Xenopus tropicalis: one gene and its partners. The protein of the gene in region 6 purifies or fractionates together with the protein of the main gene of each other region. This does not show direct contact. Links are inferred from orthologs where the notes say so. Each region holds a gene or a part of one and is shown on either strand. Other genes may lie near its edges.

Region 1 (3,500 bases), on a different chromosome or scaffold from region 6:
ATTGTTGCGTTTAAATGCATGATCGATACACCTTAATACCCACTTACAAGATGTGGGATTCCCAGTGAGCAGATTCTTTGATTCCCCTTATTTCTGTGTCCCACATAGAAATAGTCATAGATGTACATTCAATTGCTGTTTCCAAACTGTATTGCCATGCAAAATATGTATCATACCAGTTTACAAATGTATTCTTTTGTGACTGATTCCAGAATATTAAACACGTAGTAATTAAGTGATATAATTTATTTATTTATTTTTTGTGCTGCTGTCCAGGTCGAGTCCTCTCCATTTGTTGAGCGCCTCCTTAAGAAAGGCTATGAAGTTTTGTTCTTAATTGAACCAGTTGATGAGTATTGCATCCAGGCCCTGCCAGAATTTGATGGGAAGAGATTCCAAAATGTTGCAAAGGAAGGCCTTAAGTTTGATGAAAATGAAAAGTCAAAGGAGGCACGGGAAGCATTGGAGAAGGAATATGAACCACTGCTGACATGGATGAAAGAAAAGGCTTTGAAAGACCAGGTATGTGGGGTTTTTTTTTTATGGAAAGAGATGCTACAAATTTCCCATGCTTGCATAACAATCTTTTTTTTTTTTTTAAGATTGAAAAAGCAGTAGTATCCCAGCGTTTGACACAATCTCCTTGCGCACTAGTAGCCAGTCAGTATGGCTGGTCTGGCAATATGGAAAGGATAATGAAAGCTCAAGCATATCAGACAGGAAAAGATATTTCCACAAAGTAAGTCCCATTATGTATTGAAATGACCTTCTGTTAGATACACAGCTCTTTTTGTTGGCAGCTAGCTAGTTTTTAGCTAAAGGTAAAGGATATCCGCCTAAAGTCAGCCTGCACAGATGAAATTACATTTGTAAATTCTGCTTGGCATGTGGGTGTGGTACATAAAATAACAATTTGACAACTGTGGGCATTGGGCACAAGTTTTTGAAAATATATGGGTGGTTGAGTTGGTTAAATGATTAAATTGCTAACTGTATAAAACTTCATTTTAGTTATTATTCAGGCCAGAAGAAGACATTTGAAATAAATCCAAGACATCCTTTGATCAAGGAAATGTTGCAAAGAGTAAAGGTGAGCTTTTTTTTAGTTTGTTATCCTTGTGTTTTGAGGCAATGTGTAATTGTATCATTGCACAATATGCTTTAAAAGCTGAGCAAGTATATCATTTTCTTACTATATCTCCATTGTTTTAGGAAAATGAAGACGATAAGACTGTAGCTGACCTTGCAGTTGTACTCTTTGAAACTGCCACCTTACGTTCAGGATATCATCTGCCTGATACTAAATCATATGGAGACAGGATTGAAAGAATGCTGCGCCTCAGCTTAAAGATTGACCTTGATGCTCAGGTAACTGCAGTATTATGAATACTACTATCTTAGTTTTAAGCACCATTCAACAAAACGGTTATATTTAAACATTTTCTGTACCCCGAAAATCATCTGCCTACTGCATGTAGATTTAAAATATTTTGAGTTCTGGCATAAACCGTGACACACAACCCTTTAGTGTGCTTCAATGGGCAGTCCCTGTTTGAACTACTGTAGCTGAAGCTGCCTGCCAAATGTATACAGTTCCCATGATCACTGGGTTCAGAGTAGAAAAAGTACTGGCAATTATCAGTCACTGTGTTTTGTTGCCAGGTGTAAAGTTTGCAGAACTCTTATGGACTCATACTGGCTATTTCACCATGGGAGTTTACCCCATCCAACTATAGAGCCAGATTTAGGATTTTAGATAACCTTGGAGTTGTCAGCCTAAAGGGTGTTCAGATGCAAATGGAGTACAGGTATCATACGCCAGCAAGTACAATTCACATGTTATTGATTTGTTAATTTTTTTTCCTCCTAAACAGGTGGAAGAAGAACCAGAAGAGGAAGAACCTGCTGCAGATGATGCTGAACAGGATGAAGATGTGGAAGAGGTTGATGCCGAAGAGGCTGAGGAAAAAACACAAACCGAAGAAACAGACACACAGGTAAACTGCACATTGCTATCTTTTTATATGTTATAACTTTAAAAAAAGTCCTATACAAAAACCCAACCTAAAAAAGCAGAGCAGGGTACCTGGGTGCCATCTTCCCTTTAATAGAAACTGCTTCGGGTCTCACCACCAGTAAAGACACTGCTTGAGCATGCGCAGTTGGGGCTAGCCGGAAATCATTAACACATGCTCAAGCAGGGTACACTGCACTGCTCTTTTAGGTTGGGTTTTTCTATCGGGCCACTTTTTAAAGTTATAGGTTATGTGAGAAGGGAAGAGGGATCAATGCAGGCCAATTAAGGGGGCTTTTATACCTGGGGGGTGTAGTTCTCCTTTTAAACTCATACAAATTTTAAAAGCTCTATGTACGGTATAATAGATGTTTCCGCACAGAAAGGTGAAGCCAGAAAAATGTTGTAACAGAAACAACCCCCATCACTTCTGTACACACCTGTTGCTTTGCCTAGGGTTTGGGATGGGCAGTTAAGTTCATAGACCAAATAAGTCTGTTTTTAAACCCCCAACATCACTGCTTATATAGAGGTGGAGGAAGCACTGAGGTATCTTTTTGTTTTATAAACCTGTTCTAAATAGTGTTGGGTAGGGTTTCCGTGGTATACCAACACTTTAAATCTGTAAAGTGCCATTATGATTTTAAGGTCAGTGTAGTGAGGGGAACCTTCCAATGAAAACAGAACCAGACGTTCATTTATTTTGATTTAATTTTAAGTAGGCAGTTTGCTCAAATTTATTAACGCTTTTTTTTTTTTTTTCCCTTCTGCAGGAATCCACAGATGTAAAAGATGAACTGTAAATTCCATTCAGACGTCCACTTGGATCCAGGGACTTTTTTTGTTTTTGTGGATGGGAGGGTTTTTTAGTTTGGATTTTTTTTTTTTTTAACATTCCTCATGAATGTAAATTTGTACTATTTATGAGTATATTGATGTAAAACCTTTCATGTTACAATAAATGTTGAAAACGCCATACTGGATTTAGCGTCCAAAGCTGAAAAGGGAATGTCAATTTAAACTAGGAATATGAGCACTTCAGGTTTAAAAACCTCTTCGTCTAGAAGAGGCATTATGTTTTATATCTTTTTATCCTGTGAAACTGTCTGAAAATGATAACAAAGGGTGTCACCAATGGCACTGTCTTGAGACATGCTGAAAAATAGTTTAAGAAAACACTACAAAGAGCTGGTCCTGATGCATTTGTGAACTGTAAACATTCTGTAAATATAATTTTGTGGAAAATGGCACTGTTAAGCATAAAATGATTTAAGTGCAACAATCTGTAACTTTTTTTGGGTTACTGTTATGTGTTGCAGGCAGACTCCACAGCAGTTGACAACAATAAAGTTGAGGTGACTTTGTTTCTATAATGAAGAACAGCATTTCCTGTTTTTGAAATAATGGCTCTATATTAATCTGTGTCATTTTATATTAATATTATTTTGCCAGTAGTTGGCTGTAAGAGCACTGCAAATACAAATTG
Region 2 (4,018 bases), on a different chromosome or scaffold from region 6:
AGACTATTTAAAAGTTGATATGACATGAAATTAATATTCCCATTTTTCTATTAGAAGGCTATAATTTATGCAGCAATTTCTGTATAACCAGAGTTGCAATATTTAAATCCTCTGGATTTATACATATAGGATAATAATACATTAAGACCTATTACAGAAAAAGCTAAACATCAAAGTAAGTGTTTAGTAAGATAAAGCTGGTTACATGCACAGATTTATTTCTCCAATGGACTGTGTAGCCCTCCAATTTGGTTGATCAACTTTTAACACAACTAGATCAACTGAACAGTCACTATGAATAAATTACCAAAGCTGGCATGTGTATTGTTTCAACAACTATCTCAGAAAGGCACTACGCAATCACTGACAGACCCAAGAAAATACCCTGTGAGGCAATTGCTTGGATCACTGCATTTTGCCCATCTATGTGTATGTCATGGGAGTCAGCTGGACATTTTAATGTACATTAACAATCCCTACATAAAAAAAGATATAATTGCATACTAGGCAAAGCGGGGGTGGGGAGCAGCAAAAATAAATGTACAAAGATCTGAAGAACAGTTTGGAGTATGAACTAAGGGAACTTTGGGTGCAAAGACAAAGGTTGTTGTAATGGGTTCTTTTAACACATGTGGGTCTGTATCTTTAACACTCTGGGTTGAGACCTGAAGGGATGACAAGGGCAGAATGACACCATAATAATGCTTTCATTGGGAATATCCTAAAAACCCATGTTCAATTTCTGCTGCCTCTCCATGCAAGCTATCTATTCAGGATACAGCAGTCAGTACAGAGTTACATAATTAAATGCTAAAGGAAATGACAGACTTGTTAAGTTTATTAAACAAATACAGCAGTGCATTCAATTCTGCAGAGACCCTCACAAAGCATCTCTCCGTGACAACATATGCTACACAAAAAGAACAGTAGAAGGAGCTTTCATTTCAACTAATACGGTTTGTGTTTTGATTGACCTGTCACCAGAGCCAGCATAGACTTTAACCTGCAGGAAGCCGCCATGACACCGGTTATCCACGTACAATAGAGGTCAGGCTAGAAAGTCTTCTACCATAGAGAGGGTAAGATACAGGGCGGGTTTGTACAAACGAGGCGTGTCTGCTATTAAGCAGGGAATTATTGCCTACAGTGCTTAATCCCAACAGGATGCGGACGCAAGCCACGCTGTATACTACTAGTTCAGTGACGGATGACGTGTTTCCGGTCTGTCTTTTCACGCGATATTTTGAACCGGATAATTGTGTGCCACGTAGAAGTGGGTACCGGTTTGGCGCACAGTGGTTAAAGGAGAAGCAGGGAAGGTAATAGAACAATGGGGTAATGGTAATTACACAGCGGTTATAAGCACATTGGCACGAAAGCAGGTCTGTAATACAAGGCGCACAGAGTACTGACATGGAGAAAGCAGTGAGGTTGAGAAAAAGAAGCCATTCATATTCCTTACATAGGAATTCCATAGGGCATTGACTAGCAGAGAAGCAAGCATAATTCTAATGGACTGTTGGTTATGTTGGATGCTTTAAAAAGAAAATATCCCGCATGTAATTCTAGATATGTGGGATAAATGGTTATGCTTTTTGTTGCTGTGCCTGATGTAACTAGGGTGTCTAAACTGTTGTATGTTTATTTCTCTTAGGTAAAATGGGTCGGTTTTCGTTGAAAAGTGGTGTTGGTTGTGCCTTATTGGTAGCCATTTTGATGTTCTGTTGTTTGGCGCACACAGTCTTATCCCAGTCACAGGGGGATTTTCATCATGGCCATAGTCATGGTCACCATGGACATGGCCATAGTCATCATGGACATGATTGCCATGGACACAGTCATTCCCATCATGGACATAGTCATGAGGATCTTCACCATGGCCATAGCCATGTTCATCATGGGCATAGCCATCAGGATCACCATGGACACAGCCATGAGGAAAGCCAGCAAGGACATAATCAGGATCATAAAGAGCAGAGTCATATAGAAGTGGAGCGCACCAAAAGAGAGGCAGCAGCTGGAGATAATTTACTACATGGTCATGGGTCAAAAGAGAAAATGGAACCTGTGCAACTCTGGACATATGTAAGTATGCATCGTTCAGTTACTGGTGCTTTCTTGCACTGCTGCTTTATGGTGTTTTACTGTCTTTAGCTGTTTCTCCCCACTTTTTTAACCCCGAGTGGACTAGTAATATGGACCCTGCCCTTTTGCCATTGTTTGAGGTTGTGTTCTTTAAACCAAATAATGTTTTCCACTGATGTAACCAACTGAATAACGCTGACTAAGCGTAACATTTTTCCATTGGTGCCACCATCCTGACAATAGATATATTTCATTTGACTTCACCAGAAAGCAATTGTTAGCTTGCGGTCTCATAGTTATTTCAAATACATATTTCATCTTAAAATATATTTTTTAAATATAAGTCATCTGCTTCTGCCCATAATTCATTATTGTTAATTCTCGTGCATTGTACTAAAGTTTTCTCTTGCTGCTTTATTGTTGTCACGTTTCTTTCTGCTGTTTATGTAGCCCCTGGCTAAAGACTTTCTATTTCCATTACCCTTGATAGGTCTAGTAATACAATGCCATTGTACAATGTCATGCTTTATATATATTTTAAGACTGTTCTCACTGCTATACTGCTGCTTCTGTGGCAGGGTTTTGCATTCTAATACACTTAGCTCTACAGTACAATACTCCAGATATACTCTTTAACACAATTTCTTTCTTAGGCTATATGTGCCACACTCCTGATATCAGCTGCTCCCTTCTTCATACTCTTCCTGATACCTGTACAGTCTAATAGCAGCCAGCACCAGTCCCTGCTCAAACTACTTCTGAGCTTTGCCTCAGGTGGGCTTCTTGGAGACGCCTTCTTGCACCTTATCCCTCATGCACTTGGTATGCTATGTTCCCAGTCATCTATTTCTCTTTATCCTTTTTTTATCCAACTCAAGTGATGGCTTTTAGTGTAGTCTGACAGTCATATTTACATATGTCTCTACAGAGCCACATTCTGTACACGAGGCAGTTGAAGAGCCTGAAGAATCACATGGTCATGGACACTCTCATGGTGAGCACAGATCTATTTACTTTAGAGGCCAAACAGGCCCTGACCTGACTTGGGTTAGATTGCCTGAGAGAAAAATACTACTCTTGTAAACTCTATTATAATCAAATAACTCAGAACTATAAAACATATTTAATTTTTCTCCGTAATAATGAAACCTTACCTTGTACTTGATCTCAACTAAGATATTTTTTAGTAGATTAGGTAGGTATATCGATCCAAATTATGGAAAATGCCAGGTCCTGCGCATTCTGGATAAGTCCCATACTTGTATTCAAAGGCCAGATAGTATTTCTGAAGCTTTACCATACATAACAGCTAAGGACAACCCATGGTATAAATACACATCAGTAGGGTTAATTCCTCTTGAATTTTGTATTGTTTCTACATGCACTCTGATTGTGAACTATTCCTCAGTATCTTTGTCTCCATTCTATGCAACCTAGTGATTTTACTCCTTGCTGCTAGCATTTTCCCCCATTTTATCTCAATTTGCTGCACTTTTTTACCAAGAGACTTCTTTAGACCCGTTCCTCATATATTCCCTCCTTGCTTTCAGGTCATAGCCACTCCCAGATGATGTCAGTTGGCCTTTGGGTCCTTGCTGGAATCATTGCCTTCCTTGTTGTTGAGAAGTTTGTGAGGCATTTAAAAGGAGAACATGGACATGGTCATGGACATAGTCATGGTATGTTGAATATGAGCAGTGACTTTCTGTACGTTTACTGTGTGTGTGTGTGTGTATGTACATGTATGTATATGTAATATATATATATATATATATATATATATATATATATATATATATATATATATATATATATATATATATATATATATATATATATATATATAATATAAATATGTCACATTCTTTTGGTAAATACAGTTAGTATTTGGTTTCTGCTTCCCTGTGTGCAGTTACTACTAATGTGCACTGTA
Region 3 (4,244 bases), on a different chromosome or scaffold from region 6:
CCTCCCATCAAGCACTGACCTGTGTATATTCAAACCGGTAGTGGTGCCCACTAGGCATTTGCAAAATATAATGAGGGGAGCTTAAAAAGGTAAGCAGGGACGTGGACAGACACAAGTTTTAATGCATAAAAGTCCTGTAAAATGGAAATATATTAAAATGCACTGCCTCAGACTTGCATTTTGATGGACCATAGTGTTGCACAAGGTTTTCAATCAATTTTTTTATTTATGCAAATGTATTGTATGCTATATTAATATTTATATAAATATTATGTTTTATTTATTTATGCCCAGGGGGAAACATTACTAATATTATATATACAGCCTAAGATTATTTGTTGTGTGGTGTGCCAGTTTGTTTACATATTTTTTACAGTAAATAATTGTTATAAAGTTTTGTTTGCTATGTTGTTCATACAAAATAAACCTATTTTATTAAGATTTTTGCTCTGTATGAATTCTTTGTGTAACCAGGCATATGCAATTTAACAATAAAAACTGTACCAATAACATCTTTCACAAAACTTCCTGTGATAAATGTGCCTTGTACAGGTCTGAGTTCCCTTATCCAGAAACCCATTACCCAGAAAGCTCAGGATTACAGGAAAGCCATCTCCCATACACTTTATTTGTAACAATAAGCTTTTCTCTGTTATAATAAAACAGTACCTTGTGCTTGATGGGTTGACAAAAGACCAAAATCTGAGAAAATAAGCTGGGTTTATGTTTAAATACATTTTCAGTATATTTTAGGTATGGAGATCCAAATTATGGAAAGGCTCTTATCCAGAAAGCCCCAGGTGCCGAGCATTTAGGTCCCATATCAGTACTGTAAATCCCAGTAATAACTAAACAGTGCTTTTTAATAACGAGCTACATGATCTCTAACTCAAAATGCTTTGTGCTGGTGGCTTTGATCAGTAACCATTTCAATAACTATAGCTCATGTACTGACAGCAGATACTGAGATGTGATTCATGGCTATGAAAACATTGAAATTCTTCTTCTATATCCCTTCACATCTATGTCTGGCTAAAACAACGCAATCCCTTTACATAAGCTTCTAACGCAAACTCACACGTAATAGTAGTACAGAGTAACAGCTTATTGTATTTCAGTCAAGTTCAGACCTTGATAAACATTGCAGCTGCAGCATCCCCTAGTTTATTTGCTCTTATTTATTACCCCCTCCCTTATTCAATTCCCGCTTTGCCACACTCAATATGGAGACCACAAACACCCTGCGACGATCGTATCTTTTCTGGCACATCTGTCAAATTGTCCAGTTGCTGTTGGATAAGTTTTTTCTATCTTAGGTCTCCGATTGGCCTACTATCCTTGCCAGCAGGCTATTTGCTGTCAGAATACATTCCAAGTTGACGATTGGCTAGCGGTGCAGCCGGCTAATCCGTGATTGGGTGAGGTTACTGGTGAATTGTGGAGGAAAGATGGCGGCCTCGTTGGTGCCCGTGTGCGGGAGGTCGGTGCGACTTTTGCGGGTATTGGGGCAAAGAACAGAGCTGAGGTATCGAGCATTTAGCTCCGAGCAGGGAGCGGAAGGTGGACTGACGGGGGCCGTGTTGCAGGAGAAGTTACAGAGGCGAGAGAACGAGGTGAGGCTTCCATAGAACCATTGACCTGAAAACTATTGCCATGTGAGATGAGTAACCCATAACCTTGTAAGCTGTGGCTAGTAACCTGAGCTTGCCCCCTGGCTCTGGGTGACATGAGGTTGTTGTCCTACAGACAGGTCATAATAACATAAACAAGGGGCAGTTTTGCCCAGCTTACATTAGTGCAGGTTAAGGCCCCATGGCATAATTGCACTAATGAACAAATCATCATCAAATCATCCATTCTAATGGAGAACAGAAGGTGCTGTAGTTAGCTTCTCTGCGACAGGCTGTCCCTAGCAGCTATATCATTTTATAAATGTCAAAATATGCTGGAAAGGTCTGCTGTACCGCTTCCAACATATAGCAGCCTAGCAAATAAATTGCAATTCTGTGCAACCATGTATGTTACTGACACATTTTTCAGGTTTTAATGTTATTTGTCAATGTAAATTTTCTCTGCCCTGCCAGTTCTGACATAAAACATTTGTAGTAGAAGCCAACATATTAGAGACCTGTGAAGAGGGGCATGTATGGCTGACTTTTATTGCACTGAGTCAGACCTAGACAGGCCTGGGCTAGGATTCTAAATGGGCCCTGGCATTTCTATGCCATCTTACAGCAACCTCTCTGGCTTTTGCCAGAATCCACAGATTGCCAGTCCATGCCTGGACATAGATAACAGTAAGGGAGAGACGGATAATGTTTTTAATAGAAATAACATTAATAATTATTAGGTCACTGAAAATTTTAATGAATGTATTTTGGAAAAAAGTTGCTTAAATTACACTGTCTTTATGCAAAGTGTTGTTTGGGGGTTTATATCCCTTTTAAGATGATGTCTATGAAGGTTTTCATTCATCCAGGTCATGGTATATCTAGTATAAATAAATTTAAAGCAACTGGACTTGTTACCAAACAAGTCCAGTTGCTTTAAATTTATTTATACTAGATTTTTAAGATGAGGGCTTGGCAGTTTGCTCTGTTTGGGTGGGGGATCCAACTTTAGACAATAGATAGAATATAATGTACCCCCTAGGGCAGTGGCACACTGGGAGATTAGTCGACTTGTCGCGGGCGACTAATCTCCCCGCAATGCCATCCCACCAGCCAGAATGTAAATCGCCGGTGGGATGGCATACGCGTCGCTGCAATGTCCCAAAGTCACCCGAAGTTTCTTGAGAAGAAACTTTGGGCAACTCCTAAACATCGCAGCGACGCGTTTGCAATCCCACCGGCGATTTACATTCAAGCTGGTGGGATGGCATTGCGGGGAGATTAGTCACCCGCGACAACAAAGATTTGTCACGGGGTGACTAATCTCGCTGTGTGCCACTGCCATTATAGTAAATAGTTCCACAACTATAAGAAGGCACAAGGCCACAGGCTGAGTGCTTTTATGAAGTCATTAAGAAATTCTGTGGTGATTTATAATATTTTCATATTTTACAACGGGGTTACATTTTTTTTTATAGTACACGTCTGTCAGTCATGTGACACAAATTACTGCACTAGGCATGGATTATCACTGTGAAATCCCTAAGCTCCTCTTATAAATATATAATTTACAGGATATTCATGGCTCATATTTTATACTCTATATATTCATAAATGCTGAAGAAGGTTCCCCATGGTATTGTGATAATTCTATCGCAGTTCATAGGGAGGCTGTAGGTGGGAATTTGTATAGGTACTCTGTGTTCTGTATTACAGGTACTGAATTGAAAATTACTGAGGGCTCAGATAACTGGTTCATGTATGGGATCCATTATCCGGCCACCCGTTATCTAGAAAGCTCAAAATTACAGGAAGGCCATCTTCCATAGCCCCCATTTTAATGAAATAATTCAAAATATTAAATATATTTGTTTCTCTGTAATAATAAAACAGTACCTTGCACTTGATCCTAACTAAGATATAATTAATCCTTATTTGAAGCAAAACAGTTTTTGTTGGGTTTAATTAATGTTTAAATTATTTTTTAGTAAACTTAAGGTATGGAGACCCAAATTAGGGAAAGCTCCCTTATCCAAAAAACCCAGGTTCCGAGCATTCCAGATAATGTTTCCCATACATGTAATACTAACTACATATTAACTTTTAAGATAAATTTCAAAAATATGGCTTTAATATTTTTACCCACACAGATAAAATGTTGACTGCTTAGCTTCACCCCTGCTTTCAGTTTCCCTCTGGGATCATTGTGCTCTCCACATTCCCATTCCCCAGGAGATACCTTTCCTGAACATGCTAATGAAAATATTCTTCCTGTTTGGTCTGTGTTGCTGGGCTTTCACACTGTCCATATTTCTCTGAGTCTTCTATTGCCCCCTTTTCTGGCTCATGTATGCTGAGTTATATCTACTGTATATGGTGCACCCAGAACCCCATTTAAGGACTCAGTCTTTGCTTATGACTTTGGCAGGTGGCCCACCATTCTAATCTATTCAAACAGTTGTGGGGAGCCTCTGTCAGCCAATGGGCTTCAAAAAATTGATGATAATAATTTCTTTGTGACAATGCTCTTTATTACCTTTTTTTCCCCTAAGCTACAAAAGTCATTTGTTTAGCCCTCTTGTTCTATATAGTACTGGTATCGCACCCTTATCCGGAAACCCGTTATCCAGAAAG
Region 4 (3,500 bases), on a different chromosome or scaffold from region 6:
GATGGTAAATAAACTAAATATACACAAATATGAATTTTAAAAACAAGTTTTGACTTGTAAAACAAGGCTACTCCCATAACTGAAAAATTTTGAATTCAAAAGATAGTCTGGCAAGTCCAAGCAAGTATATTTCATAGAGGAAGCTTATTTAGTGGATTATTATATAAAAAAAATACACATACTGATAACTCTAGCTTTTCTTTGTAGATTGTATGCCCCCCCCCTCCAAACACACACACACACACACACACATACCTATATACTTTTCTGTGTAATTAGGCAGTGAAATAGTTCATGCTTGGTCATTGAAATGTATTGATCCTTGAAAAAATACACTAAACATGCTTAACACATTTTTAATACCTTGTGTGTCAGATTGGCAGATACCCTCTTTCCTACACACGCTTCAGCCTAACGCCTCAGACTGATGGAGATACTAGTCAAGTAGAAATGAAGCTTGCTGATGATGATGAGGAGTGTGGGGACCAAACCTTGGGAGAGCCTGTTGTGAAGCAAAGATCAGAAAATAACTGTAAAAGGATCTGCATAAAAATTCTTCTGGGGGCTTTCTTAATCTTGCTTGGTCAGTATTTGTGTATTTACTCTCCACACCTTCACACCTTCAGAATAATGACGTTTAAAATATAATATAATTTTTTTTTTTTCTTTCTTAACCCCACTGCAGGATTTCTTATTGGATATTTAAGTCACAGAGGGCGTGATTCCTCTGTGCAGTCAAACAATGCCAAAACTGTGGAGTGCTCTACTGCACAAGCAACACTTTCTAATGATGATGAGGATGAAACCAATTTGGCAGCAGAAATGCCCAGTGTGCTTCATTGGAGTGATCTGGCACCCATCTTAAACTTCAAGATAGATAATCTATTTCTGGAGGATACAATTAAGTATGTGGTTTATTCATTCTTTTTCTTTCTCTATTAATCTTGCTGAATGGTTGAACATTATGTACCGTAAGTGCTTTCAACAGTCCCTACATTTGTGAGTTAAGCAATACATTACAGGGATTACAGACAGTCTAAATGTGAGGTAATAGGCCTGGCAACAATTGTGAAGTTTAAAGCTAGCCATACATGCACCGATACAATCGTATGAAACTACGGATAACAGGTTAGAAAATTTCTGTCGAATACTGCTAAAATCTGTACATGTATTGTGTATCTGACGATATCCTTGGGGGAACTACAGTGCATTTCCAGGATGTCACTTTCGTACAAATGTTGCCTGCCAACTATTTCATGTACAGAACATCCTCTGATTTGTTATTTTTTAGGACTTTTATTCAACTATTCCAGTCTGAATGTTTGTTTTGGTTCAATATCCGAATGTTTGTTGGATGAAAACTGAAATCTGAATGTGTATGGCTACCTTAACAGGTTTAACATTTTGATTGGAGCCACACTAAGCTCCTTACCCAATTTGCTGGTGTAATTCCTCTGACTTTAAAAAGATCAAGTAGCTCAGTCATCTTGAAATTTTGGTACTTTTTCCCTTTTGGAAGAAAAAGGATAGGAATAATATGGGTAAAAATCAGGGGAAATGGCAATTGATCATATACCTTTCCATCCATTATTCATAATAAGCTAAATATTTTCTCCATCTCCTCTTTGTTAGGAAAATATCTAAGATTTCTCGTGAAGCTGGCACCAGTGAGGAAGAGAGCGTGGCCTTAATGGTGCATGAGGAGTTTGGGCAGATGTCCTTGGATAAAGTGTGGAACGATGAGCATTATGTTAAGCTACAGGAGCTTGGAAAGTGAGTTTTGAAAGTACCCCTTTAATTTTCCCACAAAGGTTATAATCACTTTTGTATATTGTATATTTTAATTATTATAGTACAACTTGCTGCAGTGGCTGCAGCATGCAGTAACAATTCTGTTAAATTTCTCAAAAAAAGGCATTGCTAAAGTGAGTCCTGAAAGGATGGGCATCCTATAAAGGAGAATGAAATGTTGAAAAACGAAGTGGCGGGGGATGCCAATTTGTTGGCCAACACTTTCTTAGCATAATCACTTTCTTAGCACTCATAAAGCATATTTGACTTTTTAAATTAATTAAAGCTTAAATTTTTACGAAATTTTAGAATCCCTAATTAATCAGCCATGCCTTTGTTAATTTTTTTTTTTTCCCTTAGCTCACCAAATAAAGTAACAATTTTGAGCAACAGTAACCGAGAAGAGACTTTGCAGCCTTCTGCGTATGTGGCCTACAGCCCAGCAGCAAGTGTAAATGTAAGTTGTCAGTTTGCATTTTTATACTGAATCTTGGTATTAAAATCTTCAGCTGGTATAGCAGAGATATCTTCAATTACTTTAGAAATACTGCACTTTGATTTATTATAATTAACAATTTTAGATTGTGTACTGTACTCAATATGCAAATTAGAATGGAGAGTTGTGCTTGATTATGGAGAAGGGAAATAACAGACTTTGAAGGGGAAGTTCACATTTAAATTAATATTTAGTATGGTGTAGACAAACAATTTGCAGGTGGTTGTCTTTTTTCATTGGGGGATTTTTTTTTTTTACTTTTAATGTTAGGCTTGGGAAAATTTAAAATAACAATAAAATTTGTAGTTTCACAGAGCAACTGTCTTGTCTGCTGGGGTCACTGACCCCACCTTACCCCCAAGAACCAGTATTTTTAATTGCAAGTGGGGGGAAAAATGCAAAAGAGGATGACCAATTGAAATGTGAAGGTTATCCCATAAACTCATTCCAGTATAATAGTGTGTCCATTGAAGGTGTTTCCTTAGGCTGCCTGTCCTGTTAGTGCAGAATAACCAGAAAATTATTTACCGGTAAGACTATAGCCTTGCTTCATACAGCTGTTAAAAATGATTAGGTTGGGATACGTTCAGAATTTAAAATGTTTTATACCTGCCACCTCAGTACGCCTTTTGTTGCTTGCCCCTCTGTATTTCTTACTTTGACTTATATTCTCAAGGGAAAACTAGTGTATTGCCATTACGGCCGAAAGGAAGACTTCCAAGCCATACAAGAAAAGAATATTGATCTTTCGGAAAACCTGGTCCTTGTACGTTCTGGATTAATCAGCTTTGCTGAAAAGGTAACTTTTTTGCAAATATAATGTTTTTTCTGTTGTGCCATCATTCTAGTTACTTTGCAATAACTAATACATCTCTTTTAAGGTTAAAAATGCAGAACTCCGTGGGGCAAGAGGAGTATTAATCTATCCTGAGGCATCTGACTTTACATTCCCAGGCAGCCAAACTGGATCTATAGATTCTCCTTTTGGACATGTAAGTAACACTTAGGGGCAGATTCATGAAATCACGAGTTTGAATCCCGAATGAGATAAATGCGGATTGGATACGAATTTTTTTTTTTTTGCGAAAAGATCGCAAATATCACGAAAATGCTTATGAAAAAATTTGTCACAATAATATTGTATTGGCAAACCGAAAGTCACGAAATTGTCGCACCGAACGATTGTAAACAGCGGGAAAACCTTTCCGATTTT
Region 5 (4,028 bases), on a different chromosome or scaffold from region 6:
CACAGGGGGGATGCAGTTTCCTTTGCACATCTCACTTCCTGTCTCAGATAAAGGGAGACTCCTATAAAGGAATTGGGGTTCCATGGGAGGCTGCACGGGCAATAAGGTCCCATCATGTTTGGGAATGTGCAGCAATGGGAGAACTGGTATTTCTGCACTGAGATTCCCAACAAGCAACTGCCCCGGGGCATCAATTCTTACCCCTCCCCCAGGAAAACAGAATGGAGTGTAATATAATTGGCCTCTGGAGAGGAGGGTGTCTGCCCACAACATGGCCACAAACTACTGGCCTTCTCCTAGGTAACACAGCAACTGTGTGCAAGCTCTTGGGACCAGACACCCAGTAGGAGTCACTCCCGGCTCCAATGAGCATTGCAGGAATCCCAGGGCCCAGTGTCCAGCTATGAGAATGGGGCAAAAATGGGGCAGGAATGGGGCAGGAACGGGGCAGGGAACAAATCTACATTATGCCAAGTTACCCCCATCTACACCCCCCCAGGGAAAGGGCACTCTCACTGCCCCATAACACCCACCTCCCATTAACAACAGCACAATGTGCCCCCCATACACATACGCAGGCACCCCACACTGGCACCACAAGGGGCAATTCCTACATATACAGCCGGAGCCCAGTGTATCAGTAACGCCCCACCCTGCAGTAATGCCAGTTATACCCCCACCCTGCAGTAATGCCCCAACCTGCAGTAATGCCAGTTATACCCCCACCCTGCAGTAATGCCCCAACCTGCAGTAATGCCAGATATACCCCCACCCTGCAGTAATGCCAGATATACCCCCACCCTGCAGTAATGCCGCACCGTGCCCTGTACCCATGTAACCTACCCGCACCGTGCCCTGTACCCATGTAACCTACCCGCACCGTGCCCTGTACCCATGTAACCTACCCACACCGTGCCCTGTACCCATGTAACCTACCCGCACCGTGCCCTGTAGCCATGTAACCTACCCACACCGTGCCCTGTACCCATGTAACCTACCCGCACCGTGCCCTGTACCCATGTAACCTACCCGCACCGTGCCCTGTACCCATGTAACCTACCCGCACCGTGCCCTGTACCCATGTAACCTACCCGCACCGTGCCCTGTACCCATGTAACCTACCCGCACCGTGCCCTGTACCCATGTAACCTACCCACACCGTGCCCTGTACCCATGTAACCTACCCACACCGTGCCCTGTACCCATGTAACCTACCCACACCGTGCCCTGTACCCATGTAACCTACCCACACCGTGCCCTGTACCCATGTAACCTACCCGCACCGTGCCCTGTACCCATGTAACCTACCCGCACCGTGCCCTGTACCCATGTAACCTACCCGCACCGTGCCCTGTACCCATGTAACCTACCCGCACCGTGCCCTGTACCCATGTAACCTACCCGCACCGTGCCCTGTACCCATGTAACCTACCCGCACCGAGCCCTGTACCCATGTAACCTACCCGCACATCTCATACATTGCTCCTGTGCCCCCACAGTCTCTCCCATTTTGATGCTGTCTGTCTTTACACTGCTGTCTCTCCCATGTAGGCTACTGTCACCCCCCCCCCCCCCCCCATAAGCACTGTTTCTTCCATACACCCCATATCTATACTGCTACCTGTCCCATACTGCCCCCTCACACACTACTGTCTCTTCCAGAGGCCCCCCATATACCCTGTATCTTCCCTAACCCCCCCATATACCCTGTCTCTTCCCTACCCCCCCATATACCCTGTCTCTTCCCTACCCCCCATATATACCCTGTCTCTTCCCTACCCCCCCCATATACCCTGTCTCTTCCCTACCCCCCCCATATACCGTCTCTTCCCTACCCCCCCATATACCGTCTCTTCCCTACCCCCCCATATACCGTCTCTTCCCTACCCCCCCATATATACCCTGTCTCTTCCCTACCCCCCCCCATATATACCCTGTCTCTTCCCTACCCCCCCCATATATACCCTGTCTCTTCCCTACCCCCCCCATATACCCTGTCTCTTCCCTACCCCCCCATATACCCTGTCTCTTCCCTACCCCCCCCCCATATACCCCGTCTCTTCCCTACCCCCCCATATACCCTGTCTCTTCCCTACCCCCCCCCATATACCCTGTCTCTTCCCTACCCCCCCCCATATACCCTGTCTCTTCCCTACCCCCCCCATATACCCTGTCTCTTCCCTACCCCCCCCCCATATACCCCGTCTCTTCCCTACCCCCCATATACCCTGTCTCTTCCCTACCCCCCCCCATATACCCTGTCTCTTCCCTACCCCCCCCATATACCCTGTCTCTTCCCTACCCCCCCCCATATACCCTGTCTCTCCCTACCCCCCCCATATACCCTGTCTCTTCCCTACCCCCCCATATATACCCTGTCTCTTCCCTTCCCCCCCCATATACCCTGTCTCTTCCCTACCCCCCCCCATATACCCTGTCTCTTCCCTACCCCCCCCCCATATATACCCTGTCTCTTCCCTACCCCCCCATTTACACTGCTGTCTCCCCTAACGCAATACTGTCTCTTCCCATATTCACTGTCTAACACACTCGCTGCTGTCTCTGTCACCCCCCCATACTCACTGCTGTCTCTCCCACACTGCTGTCTCTCCCACACTGCTGTCTCTCCCACACTGCTGTCTCTCCCACACTGCTGTCTCTCCCACACTGCTGTCTCTCCCACACTGCTGTCTCTCCCACACTATTCACACAGAAGAGCCAGAGGCCATGTTGCCCAAGTCCCAGCTCACCCCGTATCCCATGGTGGCGGTCTGTTCTTCGTTTCTCGGTAGAGCTCGCCTCCCTCCGCCTGACACTGAGGTCGCAACGCGCCCGGCTCCAGTATTTATACCTCCGCAGTCCCACCGACGTCACCGCCTTCGGACGTCACCGTTACTAGTGACAACAGTGCCAGCCCCTCTAGAGCCAGCCCCGCCCACCAAGAATAAGATGGAGAACCTTGCGGTGCGTTCAGGGGGATATGCGTGTCACGTGTCCGGGGCGGGGCTGAGCGTGTAGCAGGCAGGTCACATGGGGGAGCTTGAGAGGAAAGATTCCATTATGGCGCCCCTTTAGCTCGGATTCCCATCGCTTCAGCTATCAGTCTAATTAATGGAAACCTTTCCTTCTCTCTGCGGCCCAGTGATGTACATATAGTAGCAACTGGGTGTAATGAGGTGTGGGACCCTAGAATCCCTCATTGTAATACATGGATTCACTACTACATTTTATATATAAATCTCCTTAATATATATATCTATCTATCTATCTATATACACACCACTTGTGTACAGGGAGTCTAATCCCCACACAGTACAACGGGGCCATTTCCCCAGCGTGTCGGCCCCACTCTGTTCCCCACACAGTACAACGGGGCCATTTCCCCAGCGTGTCGGCCCCACTCTGTTCCCCACACAGTACAACGGGGCCATTTCCCCAGCGTGTCGGCCCCACTCTGTTCCCCACACAGTACAACGGGGCCATTTCCCCAGCGTGTCGGCCCCACTCTGTTCCCCACACAGTACAACGGGGCCATTTCCCCAGCGTGTCGGCCCCACTCTGTTCCCCACACAGTACAACGGGGCCATTTCCCCAGCGTGTCGGCCCCACTCTGTTCCCCGCACAGTACAACGGGGCCATTTCCCCAGCGTATCGGCCCCACTCTGTTCCCCACACAGTACAACGGGGCCATTTCCCCAGCGTGTCGGCCCCACTCTGTTCCCCACAAAGTACAACGGGGCCATTTCCCCAGCGTGCCAGCCCCACTCTGTTCCCCACACAGTACAACGGGGCCATTTCCCCAGCGTGTCGGCCCCACTCTGTTCCCCGCACAGTACAACGGGGCCATTTCCCCAGCGTGTCGGCCCCACTCTGTTCCCCACACAGTACAACGGGGCCATTTCCCCAGCGTGTCGGCCCCACTCTGTTCCCCGCACAGTACAACGGGGCCATTTCCCCAGCGTGTCGGCCCCACTCTGTTCCCCACACAGTACAACGGGGCCATTTCCCCAGCGTGTCGGCCCCACTCT
Region 6 (3,500 bases):
TTGCATAGAAGATTCACCCACCAGAGTGATGTCTGGAGCTACGGTAAGCAAGAAAGCACAGCATATACAACTAGTTGGCCAGAATATGCTCTGTACCTAATGCTTGGGTGTGTTGTTGGCGTTTAGGTGTAACAGTTTGGGAGCTCATGACCTTTGGGGCAAAACCCTACGATGGAATCCCGGCCCGAGAAATCCCGGACCTTTTGGAAAAAGGGGAGAGGCTTCCACAGCCGCCAGTCTGCACCATAGATGTTTATATGATCATGGTTAAGTGTAAGTGATTGTCATTAATAAATATTTCCATTTATTAAAGTCAAAAATAGCACCGTCTTCTCTTCTCCACAAACTCCCAATAACCCTCTTTCCTCAATAATCCTTCATTTGTTTCCTATTGCCCATGCAGTTCTCTCATTGTAGTTCTGCCTGCAGATTCTTCATTCTCTCATTTTTCCTCTCATTTAGGCTGGATGATAGACTCAGAATTCAGACCCAAGTTTCGGGACCTCGTTGGTGAACTCTCTCGTATGGCTCGGGATCCGTCACGTTATGTGGTCATTGAGGTACGAGAAGCAAAACAGTTGTAGTTTATGAGCCCAATAAATGCAAGAGAATACACTCAGCTAAAGCACAAGCATGGGAACCGTCATATGGAAACCCATTGGTCTTCATTATTATTTTTATTTTATTTATTTATTATTTATTTATTTATTTTTAGTTATTTGCTTTCCTTTTCTACCTCTTTGCAGCTTTCAAATGGGGGTCACTGACCCCGGCAGCCAAAAACTATTTCTCTGCCAGGCTACATTTCATTGTTATTGTTACTTTTTATTCCATATCTTTTTGTTCAGTCCCTCTTTTATGCTTATTTCAAACTCTTACACTAACTGGTTGGTAGCAAAATGAGAACCTAGCAACCAGGTAGCTGCTGAAATACCAAACTAGAGCGACGCTGAACAAAAAGCTAAATAACCAAAAAACCATAAAAATTCTAAATAATATTCTCAGAACTGATATGCAAGGGATGCTGAAGTATTGACCATTTTCATTGACTTCCTCAGAATGAAGAGTTCCTGGCTCAGGCGAGCCCGATGACCACCCAGTTTTACAGTGCCTTGCTGCAGGAAGTCGGGATGGATGACCTGGTGGATGCAGAGGAATATCTGGTGCCCCAGAGGGGATTCTTCCCATCAGAGGATGTTACTTCCGAGCATCGCAGCAGGATTTCATCAACGCGGGTAACAGACATGTCTCTACTCCTGATTCTAACACGTTTATGGGCACAGTATCATCAATAAAATGTTACTATTGAGGATACACATGAGTATCCTGAGTCCCTCCAGTCAGACTCGGACTGGCAATCTGTGGGTTCTGGCAAATGCCAGAGGGGCTGCTGTAAGATGCCATAGACAGTCACTATTTATTGGGCTGGGGGGCTGTTTGTGCCTCTGGGTACTGGGAATGCCAGGGGGGCTGTAAGGTGCCGCAGACAGTCACTATTTATTGGGCTGGGGGGGCTGTTTGTGCCTCTGGGTACTGGGAATGCCAGGGGGGCTGTAAGGTGCCACAGACAGTCACTATTTATTGGGCTGGGGGGGGCTGTTTGTGCGTCTGGGTACTGGGAATGCCAGGGGGGCTGTAAGGTGCCATAGACAGTCACTATTTATTGGGCTGGGGGGGCTGTTTGTGCCTCTGGGTACTGGGAATGCCAGGGGGGCTGTAAGGTGCCACAGACAGTCACTATTTATTGGGCTGGGGGGGCTGTTTGTGCCTCTGGGTACTGGGAATGCCAGGGGGGCTGTTAGGTGCCACAGACAGTCACTATTTATTGGGCTGGGGGGGCTGTTTGTGCCTCTGGGTACTGGGAATGCCAGGGGGGCTGTAAGGTGCCACAGACAGTCACTATTTATTGGGCTGGGGGGGCTGTTTGTGCCTCTGGGTACTGGGAATGCCAGAGGGGCTGTAAGGTGCCACAGACAGTCACTATTTATTGGGCTGGGGGGGGGGCTGTTTGTGCCTCTGTGTACTTGGAATGCCAGGGGGGCTGTAAGGTGCTATAGTCACTATTTATTGGGCTGGGGGGCTGTTTGTGCCTCTGTGTACTTGGAATGCCAGGGCTTATTTTGAATCCCAGTCCAGGCCTGCCTCCAGTCACTGGATTCTGTAAAGATGGTTATACACGTTAAGATCGGATCTTCTCCCAATATGAATTTAGGTCAATTGGCCCTGAGGCCAAACCATCAAATTAGAACGCCAGTAATAGGTGCAGTTGGTTCGGGGACCGTATCAACGAGCCAATGCAGCCCCTGATCCAACTAAATTTTTTAACCCGCCCGATCGATATCTGGCCGATTTCAGGCCAGATATCGGTCGGGAAGGCCCGTCGTTTGTGCCCCTACACGAGCAGATAAGCTGCTGAATTGGTCTAAGGGGCCGATATCGGCAGCTACAATCAGCCCGTGTATGGCCACCTTAAGTCTTTACTAAATGAAATCAGCAATTAATCAAGAACCATGTCTCTTAATTAAATAAAATAGTCAAATAGGCAGATAGTAAATCTGAGTATATCATTTATTTTACATAAAGCATGACATTTGCAGTAAAATTCTATTTACATTGGACAAATAAAAAAAGAGAACTGTTCCCTTAATACCCCTTACTATATGTCTGTATATGTAGGGTTGCCATCTAGGGGCCCAGCTGAGGCAGGGGGCCTGAACTGCCATATTGGGGTGTAGCTGTTCTGGGGTACTGGCCCCCCTGATACCTTGCACTGTGTATGTGGGCTTTTGTGTATTACCCATCCTCTCTGCCCTTTCTGTATGAACCTATTCACAGTGGTATATGATGGCCGTGGGTCTTTAAGTCGGCAGATCCCTGATTGTTTACTGACTAAGCCATTTTCCTTTATATAAAGAACTTCAACCCCATGGCTAGTAAATAGGCACATGTCTCTATATACAGACAAATCTAAACAGGCACGATTAAGGGCTTTCAGAGAGGTGACTGTATATAAAAACCATATGACTTTTCAATTGATCTTTACAATGATAAAGCTTCTACTAAAGCCAAAAATGTTAAATCCTATATTTGAACTTGCCCATTTATTTATTTCCAATCCATTCTTTTTACCTTACAACATTTTCACCTTTCCCCCCTCAGAGTGCTACAGAGATGCAGGCAGAGCAGGCGCTGCTGCAGGAGACTGCCCCCAGTGGTGCTGCACTGGCTCGTACCATGTCAGAGAGGTCGGGGGGCAGTGGCTCAGATGCATTAAGCGAAGGGGAATATGTGTTTGACCCACCCCAAAATGAAGAGAGCGGCTCTCCACACAGATATACTGATGACCCACTGCACTCCGGCGAGGATGAGACTGACAGTTGTTTCTTTGAAGGAGACTGCATTTCCCCAAGCATTCCCCTACACCTACCAGGTATACGTCTTTCCCTTCTTAGCAACTATGAATTCTTCATTAGAACTATATTGCTGAACTAATTCATTCT
Region 7 (3,500 bases), about 7.1 Mb from region 6:
CTATCTATAATCTATCTACCTGCCTACCTATCTGTCTATCATCTGCTATCTATCTATCTATCAGGTACCTATCTATCTATCTCATCTACCTACGTGCCTACCTATCTATCTATCTATCTATCTATCAGGTACCTATCTATCTATCTCATCTACCTACGTGCCTATCTATCTATCTATCTCATCTATCAGGTACCTATCTATCTATATCTATCATCTATCTACCTACCTGCCTACCTATCTGTCTATCATCTGCTATCTATCTATCTATCTATCATCTATCAGGTACCTATCTATCTATATCTATCATCTATCTACCTTCCTACCTACCTATCTGTCTATCATCTGCTATCTATCTATCTATCTATCTATCTATCTATCATCTATCAGGTACCTATCTATCTATATCTATCATCTATCTACCTTCCTACCTACCTATCTGTCTATCATCTACCATCTATCTATCTATCTATCTATCTATCTATCTATCATCATCTATCAGGTACCTATCTATCTATTTATATCTATCATCTATCTCATCTATCTACCTACCTGCCTACCTATCTATCTTATCATCTGCTATCTATCTATATCTATCATCTATCTACCTTCCTACCTATCTATCTATCTATCATCTGCTATCTATCTATATCTATCATCTATCTACCTTCCTACCTATCTATCTATCTATCATCTGCTATCTATCTATATCTATCATCTATCTACCTTCCTACCTATCTATCTATCTATCTATCTATCATCTGCTATCTATCTATATCTATCATCTATCTACCTTCCTACCTACCTATCTGTCTATCATCTACCATCTGTTTATGTGCTATCATATCAGATATGTTAGTGCCATGCTGTTTACCCGCCCATAGTGCAGTATTGTCGGAGCCACAGACCCTTCCTTTTGGCCGCGCCCCATGGAAACCGCTTCTCTGCACAACATATAAATTCTTCCTTCTTTACTTGATTTCTGTAACGGGGGCATTTTCTCTCCCACAGTGGAAAGAAGCAAAGCCAGACGACCTCATGGATTCCAAGCTCCGGTGTGTGTTTGAGCTGCCGTCAGAGAATGAAAAAGCTGTGAGTGTTACAACTTCCTTCTGCTCCTTCATTGCGTGTATTTTATCTCCTTCTGTATTACATGTCCTACAGGGCCCAGTGTACACTGACTGACTGTCATTTATTATATACAATGGGACAGTCCAACTGCCAGCTGTGTGTTCAACAAAAATGCCGTCACCGGATTTGGCAAAATGAATATAAAGAGTTAGTCGCCATCTTGTCCCACTGCCTCCATCTTGTTCCCAGCTCTTGTGAGCACAGGACTCCCATATATTATGGTATAGTGGCCTTTAGCAATGGAAGATTTACCTTCAGTATTTATAAGCCGCTGCTCTGCTGTGTGATCTTTATTGTGCTCTCCCCCAATAGGAAATATACAATTAGTACTTTTATATGAATCCCGAAACCTTGCGTCACATCCGGCTGCTTTCCTAACACTTTATTGTTTGTGTTTTCCCCACAGCTCGATGGAGAGATAAACAAAGTCATTTCTAGCAGTATAACAAAGACTGAGTCCTCTCTGTCCAAATCAATAAGCTCCAATCTGGATGATTCTGAGTATAAGAAAGTGGTGGAAGAAAACAAGAGGCTGCAGACAGAAATGCAGAGGCTACGGGAGGAGTACAAGCAATTTAAGGTACCGGCATGGACCCCCCCATATAATGAGTTATACAGGGAACTCTGAGTATCACTCATGTATTATAAGGGATAATGTACCCCCTACTGTAAATGATAAGGATATTAGCAGTCACTGAGGGGTTCTGTGCCCCCCATATAAAGGCACAAGGCTGCAGGCTGAGTTATACAGGGAACTCTGAGTATCACTCATGTATTATAAGGGATAATGTACCCCCTACTGTAAATGATAAGGATATTAGCAGTCACTGAGGGGTTCTGTGCCCCCCATATAAAGGCACAAGGCTGCAGGCTGAGTTATACAGGGAACTCTGAGTATCACTCATGTATTATAAGGGATAATGTACCCCCTACTGTAAATGATAAGGATATTAGCAGTCACTAAGGGGTTCTGTGCCCCCCATATAAAGGCACAAGGCTGCAGGCTGAGTTATACAGGGAACTCTGAGTATCACTCATGTATTATAAGGGATAATGTACCCCCTACTGTAAATGATAAGGATATTAGCAGTCACTGAGGGGTTCTGTGCCCCCCATATAAAGGCACAAGGCTGCAGGCTGAGTTATACAGGGAACTCTGAGTATCACTCATGTATTATAAGGGATACTGTACCCCCTACTGTAAATGATAAGGATATTAGCAGTCACTGAGGGGTTCTGTGCCCCCCATATAAAGGCACAAGGCTGCAGGCTGAGTTATACAGGGAACTCTGAGTATCACTCATGTATTATAAGGGATAATGTACCCCCTACTGTAAATGATAAGGATATTAGAAACCATGAGGACCAGGGGACCATGTATTTATACCATGATATATTTCTTTAATCCTTTAGTAAAGACAGGTGTTGAGGCAGGTATGTCTGTGTAGAAGAATATTTGCCACCCCTCCCCATGTTGTAACACAATTTTGTGCAACTGTTGCAGGAAGAAGACGGTTTGAGAATGCGAAAGATGCAGCCCACAAGCAGCCCCAACCGACCCGTCTCCGGCCTCGCGAAAGAAGAAGGAGTGAACACTCGGATACTTGCACTGGTCATCCTCTTCTTCATTATCGGCGTCATTATAGGGAAAGTGGCCTTGTAGACCAACGCATGCAGAAAAGGAAAGAACCCCCCCCCCCCCCCCATACACAAAGCAAGAAATCATCCTGTCGCTGGTGTAGCCATATCCAGAAATAAATTGATTCCTAACAATGTGTGAGCGATGGAGGAGACGTCAAACATTTCACAGGTGTTGCCTTTACGTTACTCCCCCCCCCCCTCCCCTCGCGCCTCCGTAACATTCGCTTTTAGAGTCAGGTTTAATTGCCCCCGGGGACGATTCGTTAGGAAGAGTCCGATTCAAATTAACGAGCGTCACGGTTAACTCTTTATAGTCACACTGTACAATGTCATTTTAAAGAAGAACACAAAAAAAAAAACAATTTTTAACCTGCGGGTTTGTGTTGCCGGGTTAATTCTTTTAAAAAATATGAAAGGAACAAAAAAAAATTCATCTTGAGATCTGATTCGCTTTTCCACCTGGGTCTCATGCCTTTTGCCCCTCCCCTAGGCGGCTCTGGCTGTCACGGTTACAGCTGTATACTACATATATATATATATATACACATGACAGAGATCTCATAAGCCTTCCTGCTGCTCTTATATAACCTCCGTCTTGTCACTTGTGTGCGAAGCAGCCCCCCCGTCCCTCCCCCTGTGCCAGTCCTGTTTTTCTGTATCCGCTGATCTGCACTAGGGCCTGGCAGCCATATTGGATAACTAAAAGCAGTATCATTTATTTGGGCTGGGGA

The links.
Region 1: the proteins of erbb2 (region 6) and hsp90b1 purify together in Homo sapiens (affinity purification with western blotting; 3 studies listed by BioGRID and IntAct, with this or other methods). This does not show direct contact. The link is inferred for Xenopus tropicalis from reciprocal best matches to the Homo sapiens genes ERBB2 and HSP90B1.
Region 2: the proteins of erbb2 (region 6) and slc39a7 purify together in Homo sapiens (affinity purification with mass spectrometry; 3 studies listed by BioGRID and IntAct, with this or other methods). This does not show direct contact. The link is inferred for Xenopus tropicalis from reciprocal best matches to the Homo sapiens genes ERBB2 and SLC39A7.
Region 3: the proteins of erbb2 (region 6) and timm50 purify together in Homo sapiens (affinity purification with mass spectrometry; 3 studies listed by BioGRID and IntAct, with this or other methods). This does not show direct contact. The link is inferred for Xenopus tropicalis from reciprocal best matches to the Homo sapiens genes ERBB2 and TIMM50.
Region 4: the proteins of erbb2 (region 6) and tfrc purify together in Homo sapiens (affinity purification with mass spectrometry; 3 studies listed by BioGRID and IntAct, with this or other methods). This does not show direct contact. The link is inferred for Xenopus tropicalis from reciprocal best matches to the Homo sapiens genes ERBB2 and TFRC.
Region 5: the proteins of erbb2 (region 6) and atp1a1 purify together in Homo sapiens (affinity purification with mass spectrometry; 4 studies listed by BioGRID and IntAct, with this or other methods). This does not show direct contact. The link is inferred for Xenopus tropicalis from reciprocal best matches to the Homo sapiens genes ERBB2 and ATP1A1.
Region 7: the proteins of erbb2 (region 6) and vapb purify together in Homo sapiens (affinity purification with mass spectrometry; 3 studies listed by BioGRID and IntAct, with this or other methods). This does not show direct contact. The link is inferred for Xenopus tropicalis from reciprocal best matches to the Homo sapiens genes ERBB2 and VAPB.

What each region holds. Positions count from the first base shown.
Region 1 is NC_030679.2:49,296,943-49,300,442, reverse strand, and holds the end of hsp90b1 (endoplasmin precursor), read left to right. Parts: intron 1-276; coding exon 277-522; intron 523-602; coding exon 603-739; intron 740-1,011; coding exon 1,012-1,090; intron 1,091-1,212; coding exon 1,213-1,368; intron 1,369-1,874; coding exon 1,875-1,997; intron 1,998-2,787; coding exon 2,788-2,817; 3' UTR 2,818-3,391; downstream 3,392-3,500.
Region 2 is NC_030684.2:72,029,295-72,033,312, reverse strand, and holds the start of slc39a7 (zinc transporter SLC39A7), read left to right. Parts: upstream 1-1,218; 5' UTR 1,219-1,319; intron 1,320-1,347; exon of another isoform or gene 1,348-1,382; intron 1,383-1,654; 5' UTR 1,655-1,659; coding exon 1,660-2,085; intron 2,086-2,738; coding exon 2,739-2,907; intron 2,908-3,013; coding exon 3,014-3,079; intron 3,080-3,635; coding exon 3,636-3,764; intron 3,765-4,018. Other genes in the region: hsd17b8 (estradiol 17-beta-dehydrogenase 8), read right to left, coding at 975-1,020. UniProt on the Homo sapiens protein: Transports Zn(2+) from the endoplasmic reticulum (ER)/Golgi apparatus to the cytosol, playing an essential role in the regulation of cytosolic zinc levels.
Region 3 is NC_030684.2:81,747,692-81,751,935, forward strand, and holds the start of timm50 (mitochondrial import inner membrane translocase subunit TIM50), read left to right. Parts: upstream 1-1,444; 5' UTR 1,445-1,448; coding exon 1,449-1,613; intron 1,614-4,244. UniProt on the Homo sapiens protein: Essential component of the TIM23 complex, a complex that mediates the translocation of transit peptide-containing proteins across the mitochondrial inner membrane. Has some phosphatase activity in vitro; however such activity may not be relevant in vivo.
Region 4 is NC_030681.2:102,796,953-102,800,452, reverse strand, and holds part of tfrc (transferrin receptor protein 1), read left to right. Parts: intron 1-375; coding exon 376-583; intron 584-685; coding exon 686-905; intron 906-1,632; coding exon 1,633-1,773; intron 1,774-2,151; coding exon 2,152-2,248; intron 2,249-2,963; coding exon 2,964-3,086; intron 3,087-3,168; coding exon 3,169-3,279; intron 3,280-3,500. UniProt on the Homo sapiens protein: Cellular uptake of iron occurs via receptor-mediated endocytosis of ligand-occupied transferrin receptor into specialized endosomes. Endosomal acidification leads to iron release.
Region 5 is NC_030678.2:1,071,709-1,075,736, forward strand, and holds the start of atp1a1 (sodium/potassium-transporting ATPase subunit alpha-1), read right to left. Parts: upstream 2,801-4,028; 5' UTR 2,763-2,800; coding exon 2,751-2,762; intron 1,732-2,750; exon of another isoform or gene 700-1,731; intron 654-699; exon of another isoform or gene 1-653. UniProt on the Homo sapiens protein: This is the catalytic component of the active enzyme, which catalyzes the hydrolysis of ATP coupled with the exchange of sodium and potassium ions across the plasma membrane.
Region 6 is NC_030686.2:9,808,464-9,811,963, reverse strand, and holds part of erbb2 (receptor tyrosine-protein kinase erbB-2), read left to right. Parts: coding exon 1-43; intron 44-126; coding exon 127-273; intron 274-462; coding exon 463-560; intron 561-1,058; coding exon 1,059-1,235; intron 1,236-3,159; coding exon 3,160-3,430; intron 3,431-3,500. UniProt on the Homo sapiens protein: Protein tyrosine kinase that is part of several cell surface receptor complexes, but that apparently needs a coreceptor for ligand binding. Essential component of a neuregulin-receptor complex, although neuregulins do not interact with it alone.
Region 7 is NC_030686.2:2,725,218-2,728,717, forward strand, and holds part of vapb (vesicle-associated membrane protein-associated protein B/C), read left to right. Parts: intron 1-1,008; coding exon 1,009-1,089; intron 1,090-1,534; coding exon 1,535-1,708; intron 1,709-2,632; coding exon 2,633-2,791; 3' UTR 2,792-2,831; exon of another isoform or gene 2,832-3,500. UniProt on the Homo sapiens protein: Endoplasmic reticulum (ER)-anchored protein that mediates the formation of contact sites between the ER and endosomes via interaction with FFAT motif-containing proteins such as STARD3 or WDR44.